Linked DNA regions of Daphnia pulex. The protein of the gene in region 1 purifies or fractionates together with the protein of each later gene. This does not show direct contact. Links are inferred from orthologs where the notes say so. Each region holds a gene or a part of one and is shown on either strand. Other genes may lie near its edges.

Region 1 (12,231 bases):
CAGTAATATATCGTAAACAGTTAAGTATGAGATAAAATAATGTCAGTTTGTCCAATTTAGATTGGAATCTAAAACAAATAGAAACCTTCATAGCAGCTCTTCTACTCCAAATTTTGATGCAGATTTGCATCAGCAACCTGAATCATCATTTGGATCAGCTGGTGGATACCAAAATTTTAAAGATCAAAAAGAAGCATTTTTTTCCATGAAACAACTAGAAAATTGTGGACGGCCTGAGTAAGTACGAGTTTTGCAGATTTATCTTGTTGATTAGTTTTATGAGAAGCGTAATTTTTATCTTCATTTCTTAGCAATCTCCCGCCATCTCAAGGTATTCAACTATAAGCTGTATGATGTACAACTAGAATTATCTATTCCTGACCTATTTTTGTTTTTCAAGGGGGAAAATATTCAGGTTTTGGAAATTCTGCATATGTCCCACCAAGAAATTCATCTACCGAAGTTTATGATTCGCTTGCCACTGTAATTGTTGTGTTTACTCTATCTTATGAATATTTAATAATTCCCAATTCTTTAGGGTTGGTCAATGTTTTCTGTTGGAGCGTCGAAACTAGCTGAAAGTGCTCTAAAATTCGGTGAAATTGCTTCTCAGAAAGTTGTCCAGGTCTCGGAAACTGTGGGAGAAAAAGTAATGTACCTTAAATGAACTTTAATTTTTTGTGCATTTGTGTTGCCGTTTAGGAAAGCCGCTTGAGGGTTTGTTTACCTTTCAATCATCCAATGTTAAACATGAATTTTGTTGGACTGTTCTATTTCTTATTTTAAGTAACCATGTTCACATTGACTATTTATTTCCAGTATTTTTTTAATGTTAACGAGTTTTTAATCCCTGACGTGATAGAAGTGAGGACTTCATTTAAGACTTTTTTTTTCGTCATGCATAGGTAAAAGAAGGGAGATTATTGGACGATGTCGCGTCGTCGGTAACGAGTGTTGCTACTAAGGTCTGTACGTTTAAAAGTTTTTTTTGTTAATGTATAATTCGTGTACAATATTAGGTAGTAAAGTTCACGTAAAAGGTGTTATTGTTATTGTTAGAAATATATTTTTTCTTTGCATTGGTGCAGGTTACTGAGATTAGTAGGAAAGGATGGGCGAATGTTACTTCCGCTCGCAGTGATTACGATGAACCTCCCAGAGTGTCAGGGGAAAGATCTTCGCTTCTATCTGGAAGCACCAGTGGAGGATATGCACCATTGTCTGGTGGATGGTGAGGAATATATATTTCATTAATAGCATTTTTAATTAATATAATGAATCAATCATTCTTTTACAGTTCTCCCATCTACCAAGACAATTTGATGTCACCAGCTTCTTCTGTAAGTCAGGGGTTTAAGGGACATAGTGTCAATGAATATTCTCAAAGTGGTCAAGGTGAAGATTCAGGTGAATGGGTCTGGTCAAACGCTGCAAGTAATAACGATAGAAGTGAAAGTAAAAACGCTACTAAGACATCTCGTAACTCATCTGAAAATGGTGACAATCTTTTAATTGATTTTGGTGACAAAAAGAAAACAAATGCTGCTAAGAAGACTTCCTCTCCTGCTGTCACTGCAGTTAAAACCAAAACTGCTGAAGAAGAAGCATGGGATATGCTTAACAGCTGATTTGTTCATTTAAAACTTGCATTTTTTCCCTTGCTATTTTACCATTCATTGTCTCAAAAGATGCTTTCCAATGTTTCTTTTTTGATTGTTAGGTTCTCTGTAAGTTTACCATTCACTTAATATTATGGGACTGTCAAGATTGTACCATCTAGGCAAAATATGTCTTCAATCCAAAGTGAAAAAAAAAAATATATTGCTTCTGGAAGGAAAACACAAATTTATTGAACATATCTTCCTATTTCATGAAGACTTATTGCTAAAATAAAGTTTCATAGCTTCAAGTGCTCGACGCCGATGCGATATGGAGTTTTTAATTGTTTTCTCCATTTCAGCGTAAGTTAAAGCAAATCCAGTTGGCAGGAAACAAGCCTGACCAAATGTAGAAAAAAGCAATTAAAGAATAAATATATATTACATAATTTAACATTTTCAGCTCACATCCCAACCAAAATCCTGTGGGCCCCTTGGAGTTACTATTACACCTTCTGTACGCCCACTGAAAATATGGATTTCCTCCCCAACTCCTTCAGAGTAAGCAAATAAGCACAATGCATATGCAGATTTATCTTCCCATCTGGACAAAAGGTCTGTTAGACCAGCAGGTCCAATTTTAGCAAGGAACCATTTGACATATGGTCCTATAAAAAAAAAAAATATATTATGAAAACAAAACGTTCGTTCTTTGAAGCCGTTAGGCCGTTCTTGAGGCCGTCGGGCTGTTCTTGAGGCCGTCAGGCCCATTTTGCCATTTGGGCATATGCCCCTATTATATGCCTGGCAAAATGGGCCTGACTGCCTCAAGAACAAAGGTGAATATTAATATATTCATATAGTATAATATATTACATCATAATGACAAATTGTCCTATCAAAAACAATATTAGTCATAATGAATGAAAATAGGAAAACTTAAACTAGCCTTTATTTATGTACCTGGCAACCCTTGAAGGGCATTGAAGCAAAGACATGTATCTTCCACAAGAGTTGGCCCATTAATCAATTTTAAGGCAGCAAGACATTTTTCTTTCACAATATATTCTGGGTTCTCCCCTTGGTATTCTGGCAAATCTATGTTTTGTCTTACCACCTTTAACATGCAATTAAAATCATTGAACACATTTGTTAGTACATGATCTACCCACAAAACTTTTGACATAAAACAATACATTAATTAAAGAGTTGGATCCTAGAATGGCTGTTACTTCTTCTAATTTCTTTATATTTCCGGTGACGAAAGTGATCGGTCTCACAGACATGTTATCAATTGTCACTTTTGTCAGCCAAAATATGGCCAAATCAGACCGCCGTGTTGGGAAAATGAAGCCGATTTTACTTTCTTTTCTTGTCCTCCATTTCTCTTCCTCCAAGTAAAGCCACGCAAAGTCGGAAACCATCTAGTTGTCAAAAAAATAAACTTTTCGTCGGTAACGTAAAATTTAAAATATCATATTTTCGTTGTTTTAAATTAAGCGCCAAGAGACAAGAGGGGCATGTCGCCACACTGGTACTACCTCTGCTGGTTCCACAATGCGTAGAATAGCAAAATGCATAGAATAATTTCAAATTTCCAGAGTCCTACTCCTACAGTCCTATTACTTTCAATACAAATACTCAAATATACAATACATTTTAAGACATGCCATGCCATGCCCATTTTAACTAAACCCACCCTCCTTGACAAAGAAAAAAAATTGGGAAAAAGAGAAAAAATATTTCATTTGTTTATTTCATTTGTTACTATCGAATAGTTGATTCGTGACGAATAATATGAAATAAATCTTTCACTATCGTTTTCTTTCATTATCGGAAAGGGCTATAAAAGATTCATATTCCGTTTCCGTATTACTGAGCACACCCACTAGCGTGCTGTGTGCACGGGTCTGGCACGGGTTGGGTTTACTACTAAAATAGTAAAATGGGAATTGTTTCAAAAAATTACGCTAAAGGACTACATAAAAAATCGCCAAATATAATTCCCATTCTCTCTCTTTACCGCGGTCCAGTGCAGCACTGTGTCACTGTGTCAAGAGTTTTGTTGGTTTTTTCGAAGTGATTTGCAAGTCGCAAGTTTTTGCTAGTTTTTTTTTTTAATTTCGGTTGGTTTCTGATTTTACTTTCTGGGACATTAAGAATTTTTCACGATGATTTATTAAATGGAACATTGGAGCGCGGGCGTCCCTAAACTGCGAAAGCGAAACGCGAAACGCGAAACGCCTAAAATGCGAAACAGCTGTGCGAAACGGACCAAAATTTTGGAACCGTTTCGCGGGACCAAATGCCGGAGGGCATACTAAAGAGCGAAACATCTTGCGAAACAAATAGTTTTCCTTTTCCCCACAGAGGTCCAAATTGACGGAGATTGCCGCCATTTTTCATTGTCTCCCGCTATGATGAGGCATTAAAGGAGGAAGGGGGGCAATCAAATTCGATTTCTTCGCCACTACCCCTGTATGTTTTAATGCGCATTTTACGATTATTAAACTAATGAAAGACATAGAGCAGCACGATATGGTGATATTTTTAAATAATAAAATATTAGGTAATGGCCCAGGGATTATACATTACATTAAATAATTTTAATCAACCAGTAGATACGTGCACAAAGAAATAATCGGTCATAACAGTATGAGTGCCTTATATCAAGCTAAAAATCAAAGCTACCATGTTCCAAATCAAGCTAAAATTTAATCAACTAAAACTTCCCTTAAAATTAAGAATGTTAATCTGATTGATACTGATACATGGAAACGAGAAGTTCCATAAATTTTTTTATACCAATCTTCTAATTAAAAACACCTATTGCATATTGCATTCAAGGTATTCCGTATTCATAGTCAACACACAAATAGACCAGCCATAAGGTGCGCGAAACTCGAAGTCTCGAAAATTTGAAACTCTTAACAATTTTTTTGTTGACGGCGTCCATTGTCGTCTGCTACCAAGACGTTTGCACTGCGACGTTTCGCAAACACCGATTTCGCAGTTTAGTACGGACCCAAAGACTAAAATGCGAAACAGGGTCCCAACTTTTGGGTCCGTTTCGCACAGCTGTTTCGCATTTTAGGCGTTTCGCGTTTCGCGTTTCGCTTTCGCAGTTTAGGGACGCCCTTGGAGCGCTGTCGTCTGCTGACTGCTCTGACTCTGTCTGTACTCTCTGACTCTCTACACATGGACTACTCTAACTAATAACTATACATCAGCTTCTGTTCTGATGATCTGACACGCTCTTGCGACGATTGTAGTCATTTTTTTAAAGTTGCACTAGTCTGAGGTTCCATATTATAAATATTCATTGAAATATGGTTGTTTCGATAGGTTTTGAAGGTAGTGCAAATAAATTGGGTATTGGAATAATTCAAGATGGAATTGTTTTAGCAAATCCCAGGAGAACATTTATTACACCACCTGGAGAAGGTTTCATTACATCAAAAGTTCTAAACACGAAAAATAATGCGTATTGTTTTTTTTTAACTTATGACATTTATTATAGGTTTTAAACCTGTTGATACTGCAATTCATCATCAGTCAAATATTGTCCTCTTACTGAAAGAAGCTTTGGATGAAGCTAAGGTTTGATACATTTTAATTAGACTGTGAGAAACTCGTATTTCACTTCCAAAAAAATAAATCATTTATAATTCAGATTCATCCAGAAGAAATTGATGTGGTGTGTTACACCAAAGGACCTGGCTTAGGAGCTCCTTTGGTGTCTGTAGCTGTGTTTGCAAGAACAATTTCACAATTATGGAGAAAGCCAATTATTGGTGTCAATCATTGCATCGGGCGTACTTAATTCTTAAATTTTATATTGCTAATTTTAGTTGGACTCAAATATCATTCCATTTATTGCAGACATAGAAATGGCAAGATTAATCACAAGCGCAAAAAATCCTATTGTTCTCTATGTTAGTGGAGGGAATACTCAAATTATTGCATACTCCCAGAAACGTTATAGAATATTTGGGGAAACAATAGACATTGCAGTTGGGAATTGCTTGGATAGATTTGCCAGAATTCTTAAATTGTCAAATTATCCAAGCCCTGGGCACAATATTGAGCAGTTGGCAAAAAATGGGAAAATTTATGTCCCATTGCCATACATTGTCAAAGGGATGGACATGTCTTTTTCTGGAGTCTTGACACACATTGAAGATTTTGCTGCAACTTTACAAGAATATTCTGTGGAAGATCTATGTTTTTCACTGCAAGAAACTGTTTTTGCTATGGTACACATGCCAAAATCATTGCAACTAAAATTACATTTAATTTCCAATTGAATACTTCCGTTTCTTTTTTATGTACATTTATAGCTTGTTGAAACAACCGAGAGAGCAATGGCGCATTGTGGATCGCAAGAAGTGTTGATTTGCGGTGGCGTTGGATGTAGGTTTCATTTTCTTTATATTATTCTTGTCATCTAAGGATTTGTTTTTAGGTAATCTTCGACTTCAAGAAATGATGTCTGAAATGTGCAAGGAACGAGGAGCTAAGGTTTGTTGAATCATTGTGTAATTTTATCACAACAAATTTTGTTCATGGCTTTTCTGTTTTCTTTTAAGGTTTTTGCAACGGATGAAAGATTTTGTATAGACAACGGGGCCATGATAGCTCATGCCGGAGCAGAAATGTTTAGAGTTGGTGCCGTCACCTCTTGGAAGAACACATTTTGCACGCAACGATATAGAACAGATGAAGTGGAGGTAAATTGGAGAGATGAACAATAATAACTTTTAAAATGGCTAAATAAACTAGCTGCGTTAATCAAAGACAAAGTTATGCCCATTTTGCACGCAACGATATAGAATAGATGAAGTGGAGGTAAACTGGAGATGAATAATAAAACAATAATAACTTTAAAAATGCCTAAACAAACTAGCTGCGTTAATCAAAGTTTATGGTATGCTCGGCATGTCGACATGACACCACCCTACTATATCCCCCACCTCTACCAGAACATTGGCCATCAGGGTGTCCGACATTCAGGCCTTAACGTTCAGGACTGAATGCCGACCAAATTTGTGCCCAAATGTTTTCTTTCCAAGTCATTCAGGCCCACTTTGTTATATTAGCTACATCTAAAATATTTGTTGAAATTACGGGTATGGTATTCAATCAGGTAAGAGGACAGAAAAGAAAAGTCAACAAAAACATACGCCGTTGACTCTCCACGAGTATTCGACGCTGAATGAAAAGGCGATCAACTGATCAAGGTTATGTTTACACGACGGCAGTTAGGCCTACAACCACATCCTTTTCGCTGATTTCATGTTGGAGGAAATTGTGGCGTCATTTTGAGGTTTGGCGTTCAACATCCAAAATCAAGGGGATCGCAACTCAAATTTGCTTTTTATTTTGTTAGTATACTTTTTTCCTTGCTTTTTATTCCTCTTTTACTTTTGAGATAGGCTTTCCTTCAAGCGAAAATAAAAGGGTATGTAGGGTAAGAGTAAGAGTAGGGATGGGGAGGAGGGTAGGGCTGTGGCCCGGGCCATGAAAACCCGGGCCACTGTTCGGGTTAAAGAAAAAAAAGAACCCAAAAAATATCAACCCACCGAGGCAATTTTTGTACGGGGCGGGCGACGGGTTGAACCCGCGGGTCCTCGGGCCAACCCGAGTGGTGGCGCCATCTAGTAGTCACATAGAGAAGCTTGTTATTCAATATGCCTGAGGCCTCGAGAAAGACCTAAAAATATTGCCGCCAAATGCTCAACGAGAATTTCGTAAAAGTAGGATAAAAGAAGTGGTAGAAAAGAGCGTTCAGGGGTGTTCAGAAGACATCATTGACGTGTCACTGTTGGAAGAAAATAATTAAGAAATTTAGGAAATTTTTTAAAGTTTGTAAAAAAAAAGTGTGTTTGACCCAATTTTTACCCGGGCCGTGACCCGGACGGTAAGTTTCTTGTGATTCGTGGGGCGACCCGGGGCGGACCCATTTACGCTGTTGGCCCAACCCGCTCAAACCCGTGTTTAAAAAAACCATCTAGGTAACCCATGTAAAAAAAACCGTCCAAATACCTCCGGGCCACAGCCCTAGAGGAGGGTTAGTAGTCGTTCGCGTGCGACCTTCTTTTAGCCTGTATTGTAAATTTCATTTTTGTTTTCCTTTTTTCACTTTTCTTTGCTTTTCTTCCCTTTTTATTGTCGTAAATTTGATTTGCGAACATCGGGACAGGAAGGGTGAACAAAAAGAGAAGAGTCATCGAGATGATGAAATGTGAAACATGAATTTCGACATTTTCCCGGGCCGGCGGAAATCAATCTTCTTCTGGTTCGTCCATGGTCATCTGCTTGATGAGTTGATTCGCCTTTGCTGCAGTTCGACGAACGGGACGTACTGATGGGCTGGATCTGTTCCAGCGAAGAATCGATAGGTTGCTGGATATCAATAGTTTCGGTTGAGTCCGAAACCTCCAAGTTCGGAATTGGTCGGCTGGTTTTTTTGGAAGCTGTCCGGATTTCAGCTTCTCTGACGTAGCCATCATTTTTTTTAAATTTAGTTTTCAATTACCGCCAACTTCCAATGATGACGAGGAGACTCATCGTGTAGGGGAACAACGTAGCCAATCTTGACGATTTCTTCGTGATGACATAAGCGCCACATTCGAATTTGTCGCGTTGCCAGAGATGACCATCGACAGCAAAGAATGATGAGACACGAATTGACGAAAGGCGAGTAGGAAACAATGAGCTAAAAGATCCTCAACCAATTCAAGATGAATTATTCGGGTGCTGGTGCACGTGATTAAAAAAATATAAGCCTTTTGAGCATCTTTTGGAGAAAGACTTCGAATTTTGTAGGCACCGGTGTAATCGACTCCAACAACGCTGAAAGTGGGGGTATCGCTAACTCGGAATGCTGTTAGCGGAGCGTGATTTTGGGCTCTTTAGGGTTTCACACTCACTCGACGACAAGTTGCGCAGCTGCATAAAATGGATCGTACAAGTTGGTTGATGGATGGAATCCAATACCGTTGACGGAGACTGGAACAGGTGGCGTCGACGCCGAAGTGGAACATCCGTTTGTGATGATAAAGAATTATCAAAGGAGTCAAGTCGCAGGATTTTGGAAGAAGAAACGGATGCTTTGCACTGGATTTGATTCTAGAGTGCTGGAGACGGCCTTTACAGCAAATGATATCGTCGTCGTTGATAAAAAGATCGTGTTGAGACACAAAAGCTGAAGAATTAAATTTCCGATTTTTTTATGTAAAAAAAAATAATTACAAAAATCGGAAATTTAATTCTGATTACTTTTTGTTAGAAGTGTTTTTCAAAAATAATGCATACAACCCCTGCTATTAAACAAAATCATCGACGGGTAGTCAGCTGTTCCACAGAAGCTTATGGGGAAACGGCTAAAAACTGCCTCTCTACCTCATTGTGCTGCCAACTGGCGGGCGGCTTCCACTCCTCGGACCACTATCCCTTACAGCGCGGGAAAGGACTGCTTTCTCCTCTATACTCCTCCCTGGATTAACAATGGAGCGACTCTTGATTTGGAGAGACCGAAGGTGAAACGATCCAGGTTGCAAAAATAAGCTATGGCTCCAAACACGTGTGAATTGGCGTCCACGAAGAGATGCAAATTCTGAAGGTCGTAGTGTCGTCCAAGATAACAGCGGAAGACGACTCGATGATAATTGTCAACGTCAGTTGCGATTCTACTAAAACGTTCACGGAACTTTTGAGGAAGTGGATCGTCCCAGTCGAACTTCTCTTTCGAGAGCTCTTGGTTTAGAATTTTTGTTGCGATTGTGAGAGGAGCGAAGAATCCCATGGGATCGAAAACTCTGGAAATGCCACTGTGAGGAATATCACGCTTTGTTGTTGTAGCGTGGCTGAAGGTGGAAAACCAGAACGGGAAGGAATAGCGAGTCGGTATAGAACGATCCCAGTTTAGACCCAGTATCTTGGAGCTGGTGGAAGGATCGGCTACACCATCTTCAACAGCACGGACATTGATAGCTTGATCACTGGAACTCCAAGATTAAGATTCAGTCCGGCTTTGTTGAGAATGGAATTTGACACAGCATATCTGCTTCCTCCGTTGAGTAACATCCTGAAATAAGATTTTCGAAATAGATGTTGAGATCCATATCAACTGCTTGGGCGACGGCAAAGACTGTAAGTGATGTTTGATGACTGATAGGAGAATAAATGGAGAACAGCTGGCTCCGAACGGAATGACTTTGAAGTTTGAAGCGATACCCTTTAGCTCTGCATCGGAATCTCTGATATCTCTGGTCTACATAAAGCGGATGAAATCACGGTCCGACACGTGCAGGAAGACTTTAGAAAGGCTTTTTCGATGTCCGCGGAAAGACCGACTCAATGAACACGAAAACGTAGTAGAATCTCCAACATGTCGTACTGAAGAGGTGGTCCTGTTTCAAGGCAATCATTTAGACTGACGCCTGCTGTTGCCTTACAAGAAAAGTCGTACACTATCCGAAGCGGTGTGATCGCTGAATCTTTTTCGATGGCAAAGTGAGGGATATAGTGACAACCACGTTTGTAAATTTCTCCCGGCGGGAACTTTTCGATAAAACCTCGATTCAACTGGTCACTGATGATATTTTGGTAGATGGCCAGCTGACTTGGGTTCTTACACACCCGCGCTTGATGTTGAGTTAAATTAACAAATACAAACTGCTGTTTCTTCTCGATAACTTTTATTCTTGATTTACTTCCTTTACGACATTAAACAGCGTGGCGAGAAATGCGCACACATAGAAAGATAAGAGAATTCGTCTGATACCAGACACAGGGGTTTTTGGAAGGGAGGAGAAAAAGACAGTTAAAGCAGAGTTGCCAGAAGGATGAAACGAGGGCTGGAGAAAAAGGTTTCTTCAACACTTGATGGTTCCGATGGTTCGACGATGGCAAACTTGATAATTTGGGGAAATGTTAGGATGTTCCAATTTCCAAGGAAGCTTTGCAGCATACTGATTGCCACTGAACTCGATACATTGACTTTGGTAGATGTTAGTCGTTGTGTCACTTTCCAACTCTGGTTGAATCCCAAGCCCTTTAACCGTCGAAAATTTAGACAGGTCAAAATTTTCTATGGCCGAAACATGAAGCGATAAGACAGAATCGGTTGATTCGGTTTTTATGGAAGACGCAGATAATGGACCGGAGAGAAGATAACCAATAGCCGTTGGACCTGCGCTTCGAATAACTTTGTTGCTAACAACCGGTAGAAATTGGCACCAATGAGGATGTCACCGTCGAAAGATGTGGCTTCAGATGGTAGATGGGCCAAATGAAGTCCGTTGAGATGAGGAAGAGAAGCTGCCAAATTAAGATGCGGATCATCCAGTGGGCTTACAAGATGATCAATAATGATGGCTTTGATTTAGATTGAAGAACCGCTGAGGCCAACAATGAAAAACTGAGTTACGTCATAGTATTCGACGCCTGTAGGATTCATAGAGAAACCGGATAAGAGCAAACTTTCGCGCCACAACGGTTTTAAGCGCAATAATTTAGCCAGGCGTGAAGTAACGAAGGTGCACTGCGATCCCTCATCGATGAGTAAGTTGGCGTGTTCTTTAACAAGTTTTTTCTTGCAGTCCTAATTCAGTAAGTAGCCATTTTAACCAGACAGCTTCTCGTGTTGATTCGCAGGCCGCAATGTACTCGGATTAGGTCGTTGAGAGACTTGGGCTTTTCTGTCGCTTGCAGCATCTGGCGACGGGTCCTTCGTGGAGTAGAAATACATATCCAGTGATTGAGCTTCGTGTTTCAACATCTCCAGCATTGTCCACATCTGTAAAACCTGTAATTGAACTACTGGAGCTTCCACTGAAACAAAGACCGTAATTTCGGGTTCCTGATAAATACGATATGATTCGTTTGACTCCTTCCCAGTAGGCAGGTCCAGGATTGTGACTGAATCTAGCGACTTGGTTGGTTGCGAAAGCAATGTGTGGTTGAGTGGTGGATGTCAGATACATAAGGCAACCGTCGGTTTCTTGGTTGGGGGTAGTTTGCATCGACAGTTCTTCTTCTTTGTTGGTTGGTGCCATAGCTGGTGCAGTCTGCCCCTCAGATCAGATGGAATTATTTTTGGATGGCATGACTCCATTTGAAATTTGCTCAGTATTTTAGTTATGAAATCAGTTTGAGTGATTAAGATTTTGCGGTGTTCTCGTATTCTAGTGATTTTGAGCCCAGCGAATCAATCTGCTGCCATTGTTCGCATTTCAAAGTGGTTCTTCAGATGTTGAAGAATTGTGTTGACTGTTGTTGGGTTGTTGCTGCATACCAATCCATCGTCGACCCAGTTGGCAATATACGTAATCTCCTCTTGTTGACGGCGGAAGTAGACACATGGATCGGTTGTACTGCAGGTTAAGCGAAATTCACCAGAAATTTGTTGAATTGCTGATATCACATGCGCGGAGCCTGCTTAAGTCCATAGATCAACTTCTTCAGCAGACACACATTTGATTTGTTCACGGGGTCGATGACAGGATAATTACAAGGTTATGATCCGGTATGTTAGAGAAGGTCGGATTCTAGGAGAGGGAAAATAAATAAAAGTTGACGTAAGTCAACGTGGAGTGGACAACGGAGAGTGGTAATCGCGATGGAAGGG
Region 2 (11,538 bases), on another chromosome or scaffold:
TTACTCTTCGTCTGAGCAAAATCCCAGTAAGATTGAGTTAATTTTACATAATTTTATATTGATAATAGACTATTTTTAAAAATGATTTGGAAAACAAAGAAACAGGGTATTCGAATTTTTGCAATGACTTTTGTTCGAACATTTTTCGCAAACGTCGCTATGTTACTTGGGATATGCTGACATCGTTAAAAAATATTGTGCATACACTTCTTTCTCGGGAAATATGATACTACTGGTTTCTTCAGTTCATTGAACGTGGGAGACTTGGATGGATGCATAACTACCCAAAACGCCAGGGGGCTTTAGTCGCTACAAAAGCTAACAGAGTTGAGCTTTCCTGCCCAACTCGATCCTTCGTGAGTAAGCAGCTCAAGGCGAAACGAGGAAAACAAGGTTGAACAGGGTATAAAAACAAGTTGGGGAAGAAAATCTTTAAAACAATTTTCACTATTGCCTCTTTCTAGCTCTTTAATATGCAATGGTTTTCCCCAGACATTTACAATGCAGATAACCAAAGACCATGGTGATACTATGACGAAAATGGACAAAGAATTATTCGATTGACGAACAGCATGAATAAAGAATTCTATTATCGCATAAATATTAACTGCCGATAGAACGAGTCGAAATAGCGGGTCTGTCAATTGATAACCAAAGGACAGTTGAATTTGCAAAAGCTTTTTATGGATTTTGTTTAAACGAACAATTTAATGCTGGGCCATTATACTTGCCTATCGCCCATTTCGTTTAAACAAGAAAATTTGTCATATCAATTTATTTGTCATTATTTTAATTGAGATACGATATTATTTGAAAATAAAAGCTTAAATTCCTTGGTTGACGACTGGTTCAATATCGTGAAAACGACTTTCAGTACACCCAAAAGAATGTGTTAAAGAAGAATCAGAATGTTCACTATTGCCTGGGGAAGTAGAGATTGACATACAATTACTATACACGAACAGGGTAAGAGACGAGACGACGCTCAAGGTTTGGGAAAATCGTTAGTCCTTGAGAAACGACTGTTACGTCGATTAGTGTACAGTAGCATTACAGAGAAGACAGAACGACGAATGATCTAGCAGGCAAGTTGCAAATACAAATGACAAGATTGCTTTTATCTGATTCGTGATAAAACTATCCTTCAAATAATGGTGCCTGCTTTATCTAAATACATCAACTTTCGATTTTCCTCGGTTTCCCTAATAATTTAATTTTTCCATTCGCAAGCAGGCATTTTCCTCTTGGGCAGCCAAGAGAAAATCTTTTTGGGTTATGGACGTGACGCGTGCATGAACTACCTAATCGAAACAACTAATCAAAATTTCAGTCGACGACTATATACGAAAGCATTCATAATTTTCGTTCCAAAAGATATTGCGCATTTCGCTTTGGCAGATTTATAGTTCCCTATGGCAAAAACTGGACGACTTTAGGCGTCTGTTCTAACTTTAACATTATTTTGGCACTAGCCGTCTGCTGTAGCCTTCTTTTTGTAAATTCTACACGTATATAACGAATAATTCGATCCGATTGTGATATTTTAATCAATTAATTCGTTTAGAAAGTTTATCTTAGTTGCGCAACGTACCCTGGCATGAACCAAGCTAAAGATACATAAAACATTTCTTTACACTGATGGTACGACGCATGATTACATAATGTATACTAAATTAAGTAGATAATATCTACTTTTCGACAAAATAGTTACCAAGTGTAGTTACTAGTCTCTGATCCAGTGTTGCCCAGTTGGGTTACCCAAATTCCTTCCAACTCAATTTTGGCACCAGGTGGCAGCAGTGGTAGTAGACTTTCCGGTCGTCATTCTCATGACGATTTTCTGTGTCCTTGAAAACGCTGTTTGTTAGTGAAGGCCTGTCTTTTTGTTGCATAAAGAGAGGGAAGATTCTGTGTTGACTGCACCAAAAAGAAAAGTGAAAGAGGTTTTATCAGTAACATTTGATCGAGTCTTTTCTCATTTATCCAGTGTGTGAACTAAGTGAATTGAGAAATGTCGCGTTTTCTCAGAAACACAGGCGGGAAAAAGTGAGTTACCAAATCGATGGCGTCGTTGACTGGTTGAGTTTCTTAGCTATTTGAGTGTGTCGTGAAGAGTTCTGAGAGGCCACGCTATGTGATGTCTACTACTTCCCTGACATCTACTAATTTTGCCCCAAATTCAAATTTTCTGAAATTTTGGTGAATCGCCACAATTGCTTTGGTAATGAAATTTAGATTCATTTCCTTTCCTATCGATAAAATTTCGTAATTGACGTGGGATGTCGTTGAATATGGGGATTTTAGGGCGGATAACATTTTTTAAAGGGATTTGTGCAACCAGAAATTAAGATTGTGTTCTTCATTTCAGATTTAAGTGAAAGTGTACTGAACAACTGTTTGAAAAATGGAGAATAAAAAAGAAGACAACAGTAAACAAGATGTGATGGTCTCAAACCTCCCATTGCTGTTTTCTGATGGCAAACCTACATCCATAACATCCATGTCTGTGGTATGTATACTTTTTCCGGGTTTTTGTTTTCGGCCAATAATCATATTTTTTTTTTGCTTTTTCAGGAGGACCTGCAGTACTTCATACCATTTTTGATTAAATGCATACTGGGGTGTGAACCAACTGGCTGGACCAGATATACAAAATTCAAGTGGTGGCCACCTGATGTTCCTTGGTCACCTATAATTCTTACAAAGAAATATCAGACCGAAGTAAGAATTTTCACAAGAGTAAATAAACAATTTATAATTGCAAACCCTCCTTCTTTTGTTTCGCAGAATTGGAGATCCAAACTTACTACTCTAGTGAGAAATTGTTATAATTATAATGGATGTACATATTTGTTGCAATTTTCTGCAAAGTTGCAAACACTCACTGGAGGTTACAAGTTTGAAGACAATTGGGATGGAACAACTTCAATGTATGATAGCACAAATGGAAAGCTACTGGTTACTTTTCAGAATGAAAATATGGTGAGCTTTGTTAATGAATGGGACCGAGTGTTTGTGTTAACAACTTCGTTCTTTTTAGAATTATGACAAGGGTTTCAGACAGCAATCTAGTGCCTCTCGCCCTATGTTACTTCCCCGATTAAACTCTCCGACTAGTCCAACAAAGCTAAATGCTGGAGCCTCAAACACAATGGAAATAGAAGCTCCAACTGCAGCAAAAATGGTTGAACCACCAATTAATGACATCTATTTGTGTGATTATTGTGGTGCAGATTTCAGCTCACTTTCGGCCATTAAGGTACTCTATGCATTATGATTTGTCTCGGTAACTTATTCTTGAACATATTCTCAAATATTGAAGGCCCATGAAGCAAAATGTATGGCTGATAAAGCTTTGGAAGCCCAATCCAATAACATTAACACTTTCACTGAACTAGAAACACGGGACATGGATGAAGTAAACATTTTTATTTTACTATTAACTTTTGTTAGATATTTAAATTTTTTACCTTTCTGTCTCTTAGGCACAATTTCTGTGGTATTTGTCCTTGTCCAGTCGTAGTCAAACTTTACCACCGCCTAATGTTACTCCTGCTAAAATTCGTCCGGTTGTAAGAAGGACTTGTACACTCAGTGATAAGAGGTGAATCCTTAATATTTTATCTGATAACCTTTGATGAAGAAAATGCAACAATCATTATTTTATTACAGATTTACGACAATTCCCTTTTCGTCAAATCTTGGACAAAGCTTCTTCAAGGCAATTAGACTAACACCAACAGCTTCAGAACTCTTGATCAATCGATACGAGCGTTTTTGTATAGCAAAACCAATATTGCTCCGATCAGACCCTCTTACAGGAGAACACACGCAACCACCTATCCCATCAGCAACTACCTCTAATCGCTTTCGTCCAGTTGTGTTTAAAAGAAAAGACGAGTGGGCGCATTCTTACAGCTTCAATAAAGCAGACCGAAGAGAGCGCATGGAGACTATCGCGACGGGTAAACTACTTGAACTAATATTCCATGTGTTTGGTATTAACAATTAATTTTTATTGAAGGATTGAATAAACGCGCCCGTCAGTTACTTCAACGATGTCAAGGTATTCATGTGGTGATGGTTAGGTTAAAACCGGAAGAGATAGATATGTGGACTCGTCCGAAACCTAAACCAAAGCATCCGCCACATTTACTACAGCCGTGGCTACAGCGAAGCATTGCAAATTTACCTGCTAGTTGCACCATCAGCTTGGCTCCTGTTGATTCGCAAAAAACGTTTCTTCGAAACCAACAAGCTGCCTCACCATCATCAACAATTCGCCAAGTATCAAGAAACCATATTTCCGGGAAATCTCAAGCAAGAGCTCCACCAGGGCTTCTTCCTCTGATCACCGGCACTTGGTCTATGCAACCTGTGCAACCTGTCAAACCCAAGCCCACGAAAAACCAGTTCATATTGCCTGATCTGATTCCAGTTATTAACAGACATTCGAAGACGCGTTCCGTTGATCCAGTCATAATCCAAATGCCTTCCGTCTCCTCGCCAAGATCGGTTGCTGCCTCACCACGTACTCAAATGACTTCGAGCGGTAGTATTACAGATATAGTCGATCTTTGTTCTTCAGAAGACGAAGTCGACGATGGCGACCAGCGACAAGGCAGCAAAGATGTGCTGTCTAATTCTCTTGTCTTACCACCTGGTATCTCTATCACCAAAATTAAGAAAACGTCTAGTGGACCTCAGTGCCACCTTCCAAATTCACGGCCGAATGAAACGGCATCTGAAAAGAATAACAACCGATCACGAAGCGTTGCTCAGTGGCTGGCATCAGCAGCTACCGCGCCCCTACCAGTTTTGACCTTCATGGGCCACCACCAGCAAGCTATAAAAAAAGATCTTGCTAGGAGTGGTGCACTTGATGTTTGTTCAGCTGATTCGTCCCTACCCATTGTAACACCATTGAAACTAGCGAAGCTTCCTGCTGAGAAAAGGGAACAGATGAAGCAGTCTCTGTTGAAAATTCAAAAAAAGGAGAAAAAATCACCAACGTCAAACAGTGACTCTAGCAGTCCACCAACACAAATCAAGACGATTCAAACTACAAGCGATGTAACAGATCCACTTCAGCTCTCTCCATTGCCGAGAAGTTCCGTCAGCCCTAAAAAGGAATTTTCTCCACCCCTCAGTGACGAGTGCGAGGAACTGAAACACAAAGGATTAAGTGGCCTTCTTTTCTCAAACCAGCGGAATACTCGACGAAAAAGAGAAAAAGAACCCGATTTTCATAGTTCTGACGAAGAGGATTCACTATCTGATGGTCCTAGCAAAAAAGCTCGTTTATTGGATCAATCCTCGTCATCGAATTGTTTGGCACCTCAAGCGAAATTAATCCGTGGCAGCGAAAATTATTCTTCGGTTATCGAGGTTGATGTAGGAGGACCAGATAACGACATGTTTTCACGAGCAAGTTCGTTTGGATCACTAACTCCAGAGAGTAGACTTCCACGGAAAAGACAGGAATTATTTCGCTTGTTAAACGATGAATGCAAAGAATTAAGACGTAAAGGGCTGGAAGATTTATCTTTTGAAGCGAATTCCAATCATCGTGTCACTCGTTGTCGTACAAAATCCCAACCACTAATGTCCGGAAAACGGTAAAATCTCTTCCTTTTCTACTTTATTTTTGCCTTCCTCTACGACTTCGAGCAAATGCGTGCTCTTCTCCGGAAACGTTGTTTAGTATTCAACTTCTTTCGTAATTGTGCACCCAGAATCTATGCGTATATTTTACTCGCTTCTTGTCCTTCCTATCTTTTTCATTCGATGGCATTTCTAAATCGTTTCGAATGTCATTCATTCATATTATGTTCTCAACCTGGAAGATCACTGCTTTTGTTTTATGTACATAACGACGTTACATCGCCATCCGTTTAGCTGAAGGATTCGTACCTTATTGATTTGTTGTATAAAAGTATTCTAAATTTTCGATGCGATTTACGATGTTGATGTCTCGAAACCAACAAGCTTTGGTCGTTGTTGAGCAGAGGTACTATTGGTATCATTTTCTCCCCGTGTTTTGAACAAGTATTTTGAAAGTCGCGCAAACTCAGAAACCGAGACGTGTGATTGTAACGGTATTTTTAGTTTAAATCATAACCATTCTCTCCTTCTGGTTACTTGAAATAAATTCTTTCTTATTTCCAGTTAGGATATGATTGTTCTGTTCTGAAACCTTATAGATTTCACAATTCGGGTTTGCAAATTGGTTTTCGTTAAAAACACTGTAGCTCCCTAAATCCTTAATGTAATTTAATAACTCGTGTCTTTTGGGATCTTTGGTAAGTTAAAGATGTCATAATTCCACATTAATGTGTAAACAATGTATGAAGTTTCGAATTATCAGACGAATTCGATTATCTTGGCTGCTTCTGAAATCTGAATAAATTCTGTTAGTTAGACCAAACAAAATCGATGAAGATATTGAAAGATATTAATGATAAAATGAGCGGGTAGAGGGAGCAAAAAAAGGAATTGGTAAAATCCCTTGCTTTATCCTATTTTAACAAATTTGTGTGAAAAGAAGTGCGTATTATTTAATGGAAAAAATATTCATTGCCACCAGGTAGCGTGTCAACACCAGATGGCACTGACCGCAGTCGACAGACGGATTGCTTATCTATATGTATGTTCGACAAAAACATTAAAACGTAGTCTGCTACTGCTTGTAGGATCATGCATGGTTCGTGGTAACAGAGCAAGCAATTTGAATCTTGTGAAATGAATATGAAGGAGAGAAATTTCGCCTTGATTAAGCAGGGGTCCGAAGCCAAAATATATAGTGGCACTTTTCATGGAAAACCGTGCATTATCAAGGAAAGGTTTGTGAAGCGTTACAGACACCCACATCTTGACCGGGAAATTTCAACTCAAAGACTAAAAAGCGAAGTCCGCTCACTTGTTCGTTGTCGCCTAGCAGGTAATGTTTTAAAGAATTAACTATAGTTTTCTATTAAGTAATATCATAGTAATCATCACAACTAATTGTTTGATTAGGTGTCCATGCTCCAACTGTGTATTGTGTTAACGTGGAGCTAAATCATATAATGATGGAGCACATTACTGATGGTGTGACAGTTAAAGACTTCATTAAGGATCCTGTGAATCAAAATAGTCTTGAGACATTGGTTTCTACAATTGGAAGTACAATTGGTTTGTTGCATTCCCAGAACATCATCCATGGGGATTTAACTACTTCTAATATGCTGATTCGAGGTGGTGATATTTCTAAAATCACAGTAATTGATTTTGGTCTCAGCTTCATTGACCATTCTCCAGAAGATAAGGGAGTTGATCTGTATGTTCTTGAAAGAGCTATGCTAAGTACTCACCCTAACTCTGAAAATTTATTTGAAATAATTCTTAAGTATTATGCAAAGACAAATAAGAAAGATGGAAAAGAAACTCTAAAAAAACTTGATGAAATTCGTCTTCGTGGTAGAAAGCGTTCGATGGCTGGATAAACGACGAGATCTCGAAATAAAATGCCACAGGATCAGAATTAATGTTTTGTATTTGTTACTTATTATAATAAATCTCTGCATTAATTTGATAAATTTTGAGCCCAAATTGTGTCATCACATTCTATATTTTACAGCCTAGACTGAGCTCCACCAGCAGCAACAATATTTTCTCCAGTTATAAAGGAAGCATCATCTGAGCATAAAAACGAAGCCAATCCACCCATGTCGTCTGGTTGTCCAATCCTGAATTTTGTTAACTCTTGTAAATGAATTGAATATAGCTAAAAATGTACAGGCAAAATATCGTACCTTTGCAGGGGTATGCCTTCCAGGACTTTGTTGCGCACATCGTCATTGTCTACCAACTATCGGGAAAAAATGTAAATAGTTAGCTATAACACCGCTTTCGTAAGGAATTATTTAATGTGGTAATGATACCATTGCGCTGAATTTTGTTTGGATTACGCCAGGAGCAATGCAATTCACGCGAATGCCACTATGTCCTACTTCTTGGGCCAGCACCTTTGTTAATCCCAGTAGAGCTGTTTTACTTACAGAGTAAGCTCCTAGAGCCTTTGAAGGTAAGATATCACAAATAAATTTTGGTATTAGTAAAAATCCAATCAATGATAATAAGATATGCTGTTTACAGAAAATGGTTGAAACCCAGCAATTGAAGAAATAAATATTATAGAACCTCTCCCTCTCTTTTCCATATGTGGAACAGCAGATTTGGCAAGTAAAAATGCTGTTTTGACATTAATATCAAAAATTTTATCCCAGGCATCTTCAGGGCACTGTTTAAAAAGAGTAATTAAGTTTATACTTAGTTGCTAAGTTGTGTATAAACCTGATTTAACTTACACTCAATACTGGTCCAAATACAGGATTTACTGCAGCATTACTTATCAAAATATCCAATCCTCCAAACTTAGAAACAGTCTGTATAAATAGGAAAATAATTACATAAATGAATGAAATGTGATAACAACTTTTAACTTATTTCAAAGTACATCTTCTATCAGTTTTTCCCTATCTTCTTTCAATCCAACATGGCAAACCATGCCAGTAACAGTTAGTCCTTCTGTTTTAAGTTTTGCTACAGCAGCATCAACATTTTTCTGTTTTCTACTGCTTACAACAACTTGTGCTCCGTCTGAAGCTAGTCGCTTGGCGACAGCAAACCCAATTCTAAAAACAAAAATGGTAATTCAGATTAACGCTGATAAAAGGTTATAGATGTTATTGTTATTATACTCACCCATCCGTTGACGCAGTAACAATTGCAATTCTTCCATCTAATTTTTTGGCGGTCGAACTCATTTTCAATGTCGTCGTAGTAAAAAGAAAGCGTCTAGTTAGCAGGCCAGCACTTTTCAGTATCATAACGATAACAACAGATATAGCAATATATATATAGCAATATCTTCTCAATCAGCCAAAACAAGTGTATGGACTTTTATCCGAATGACAACACTGACAAGAGCTGTCAATTTCAAGTGGGAGGAGCTTACGAAATTTTACATTCAGTAGCCAATCATGAATGCTAGTACTTGGCTTATTTATCACACCTGAAAATTAAAATGTCGACAGGAACTAGTTTTATACTGATAGTTTTGTATATTGGCTAATTAATCTCATTAGAGTTTTCAAGAAAAAGAAGTTAATTTTACAATGAATTTTAAATTCAGTTAACCAAAACTATACAAAAGGAATCGTTTATGTTCTTTCCTGTCACGAATCAAAACAATTTCACAGCAAGCATCAAAACTAAAAAGCATCATCATGAGTGTAATCTGCAACAGTTGACTGAAGTCCTAGTTCTTTAAGTCTCTTCAATCTAATTTTCTCCTTTGCTTGCTTCTCATCTTGCTCCAACCTTTGGGCTTCAAGGATCTCCTCTACACCAACTTGCTTAAGGGGGATTCTTTCTTCTTTCTCCAAATCCTGAATTCAGAAAAGGGACTGTTATAATGTCTGCAATCACAATCTGTCAAAATTTAACATTACGATTTCTCCCAAAAGAGCAACATTTTCTCCTCTGACAATAAATACTCCTCGTGGAATGTCACCATACTCTTTACCAACATGAATCCTCTCAATAGTTCGATGCAAAACCAAGTTAGCAAATTGATCAACACTACGGAGGTATCCTATCAAAGTTCGGCCATCACGTAGAACGACTATAACCTTTTCTAAAAATAATCAAGCATTAGTTCATGACATCTACATGGTTCAATTCAGAAAAATTTACTGTCTAAATCTTCAAGAAGAGTCGCCGTCCCCGGTAATGAAGCGACATTCATTTTCGAAATTTCATCAGCCTATAAAACAAAACTCGTGCTTTTAGTGCAGTTGGGTCAAGAGTGCATGCGTACGCGTTTCTCAAATCGTCTGCAATCGTCTACGAATTTTAAATTGTAGATGTAGAAGCCTTGAAAATTGAGTCATGCAGCCAGTGACCCCTAGGCCAACGTTGAATTGATTGCGTTTCCATGATATTATTCGAATTCCTTTTTTTAAATATTAATCGACCTTTTAAAATCCCGGAAGTAAATTCTTTTCAATATTTTTTAAAAGAACCAAAGAAAGAACGTTTAATTTGCAAGAGCGTGAAGTAGGGATGTTGTTTAGCACTCATGTTTACACATTTCTGATAGTTTCGTCTGCAGGTAAATTTGAAACGATAGAGACGAAATCACGAAAGTTGCAAAGTTCACTGAAGAAAAATGATTTAGTCTACAATATATGTGCAATTTTTGCATGCTATATTTTAAAAAAGAAAAGTATTCAAATCTAAAATGAAAAAAAGAAATTTGCTTGTTTTTTCCTGGCTCATTTTGTTGTATGCAAATGGGGTGATGTACTTTCTTCAAGGGTTTTTGTTAACTCGCCGAGAAATTCATCTAAAGTCCGCAGCGTTTGACGGTGTTTCTTGTTGTTTGGAATCAAAATACGAGAAAATCATCATTCTTATCATTGATGCTCTTCGCTATGACTTTCTTGTTTACAACAATTCCACAAACAAGAGTAGTATACCAATCTACCAAAATAATCTTCCTGTTGTGGAAAAGTTATTGAAGGATAATCATGGTGTGCTGTATCAGGTATGTTTACAAAATAAGCATTAGGGGATAGATGAATGAGTTCTAATCTAATTTTGTGTACAGTTTGTTGCAGATCCTCCCACTTCTACAATGCAACGTTTAAAGGGCATTACCACTGGATCTTTACCTACTTTTATTGATGTTGGGAGCAATTTTGCAAGTGATGAGCTCAAAGAAGACAATATCCTCAGTCAGATTACTTCGTCAGGATTAAATATTACATTTATGGGTGACGACACTTGGTTGCAGTTGTTCCCAAGGTCTTTTCAACGTGCATTTCCTTTCCCATCCTTTGACGTGTGGGACATTCATACTGTTGACCGAGGAGTGGAACAACACTTGGTGCCAGAAATGATGAAACCCGATTGGAATTTACTGATTGCCCACTGTCTAGGAGTTGACCACACTGGTCACCGTTACGGTCCAGAGCATCCTGTCATGCCCCTCAAGTTAAAGGAGATGAACTCTTTAATCGAAAAAATCGTAAGCAACATGAATCCTCAAACACTACTCCTAGTCATGGGTGACCACGGAATGACACGAAGCGGTGATCACGGTGGTGACAGTCCAGATGAAGTCAACGCCGGTTTTTTTGCATACAGCCCAGGATGGAATATCAAATTCAACACCTCCAGGAAAACATCAATCAACCAAGTGGATCTTGTACCAACCCTGTCAGTACTGCTGGGCATACCAATTCCGTATTCAAATTTAGGTTCTGTAATATTAGACCTTGTTTTTCCCGAGCAGCTGTGGAGAGAAACTCACCCCAGTGAAGAGCACATTATGAAAATAGCACAGTCATATTTCTCCGAAGCTCTTTATTTGAATACCAAGCAAATCTGGCGTTATTTGGAAACCTATAGCCGTGATTCGTCATTTCCGAAGAAAGAATTCGAACATCTCAGCAGTCAGTTTGACCGTGCTGTCCATCTTTTCGAACGGTT

Evidence for each region.
Region 2: the proteins of probable tRNA N6-adenosine threonylcarbamoyltransferase (region 1) and EKC/KEOPS complex subunit TP53RK-like purify together in Homo sapiens (affinity purification with mass spectrometry; 5 studies listed by BioGRID and IntAct, counting the BioPlex papers as one, with this or other methods). This does not show direct contact. The link is inferred for Daphnia pulex from reciprocal best matches to the Homo sapiens genes OSGEP and TP53RK.

What each region holds. Positions count from the first base shown.
Region 1 is NC_060019.1:5,070,075-5,082,305, forward strand, and holds probable tRNA N6-adenosine threonylcarbamoyltransferase, read left to right. Parts: upstream 1-4,743; 5' UTR 4,744-4,927; coding exon 4,928-5,042; intron 5,043-5,118; coding exon 5,119-5,198; intron 5,199-5,271; coding exon 5,272-5,413; intron 5,414-5,480; coding exon 5,481-5,854; intron 5,855-5,938; coding exon 5,939-6,011; intron 6,012-6,063; coding exon 6,064-6,119; intron 6,120-6,187; coding exon 6,188-6,352; 3' UTR 6,353-6,394; downstream 6,395-12,231. Other genes in the region: ADP-ribosylation factor GTPase-activating protein 1-like, read left to right, coding at 1-2, 61-237, 312-331, 401-483, 539-649, 906-965, 1,089-1,231, 1,298-1,628; inosine triphosphate pyrophosphatase-like, read right to left, coding at 1,869-1,997, 2,067-2,266, 2,562-2,715, 2,795-3,022, 3,140-3,178. UniProt on the Homo sapiens protein: Component of the EKC/KEOPS complex that is required for the formation of a threonylcarbamoyl group on adenosine at position 37 (t(6)A37) in tRNAs that read codons beginning with adenine.
Region 2 is NC_060017.1:7,076,416-7,087,953, forward strand, and holds EKC/KEOPS complex subunit TP53RK-like, read left to right. Parts: upstream 1-6,618; 5' UTR 6,619-6,741; coding exon 6,742-6,940; intron 6,941-7,017; coding exon 7,018-7,484; 3' UTR 7,485-7,526; downstream 7,527-11,538. Other genes in the region: uncharacterized protein LOC124196883, read left to right, coding at 2,405-2,509, 2,575-2,721, 2,788-2,982, 3,041-3,259, 3,323-3,418, 3,486-3,604, 3,673-3,965, 4,025-5,622; dehydrogenase/reductase SDR family member 4-like, read right to left, coding at 7,613-7,727, 7,794-7,849, 7,923-8,057, 8,135-8,281, 8,349-8,426, 8,498-8,675, 8,746-8,870; U6 snRNA-associated Sm-like protein LSm1, read right to left, coding at 9,255-9,431, 9,495-9,679, 9,739-9,790; GPI ethanolamine phosphate transferase 3-like, read left to right, coding at 10,286-10,591, 10,655-11,538.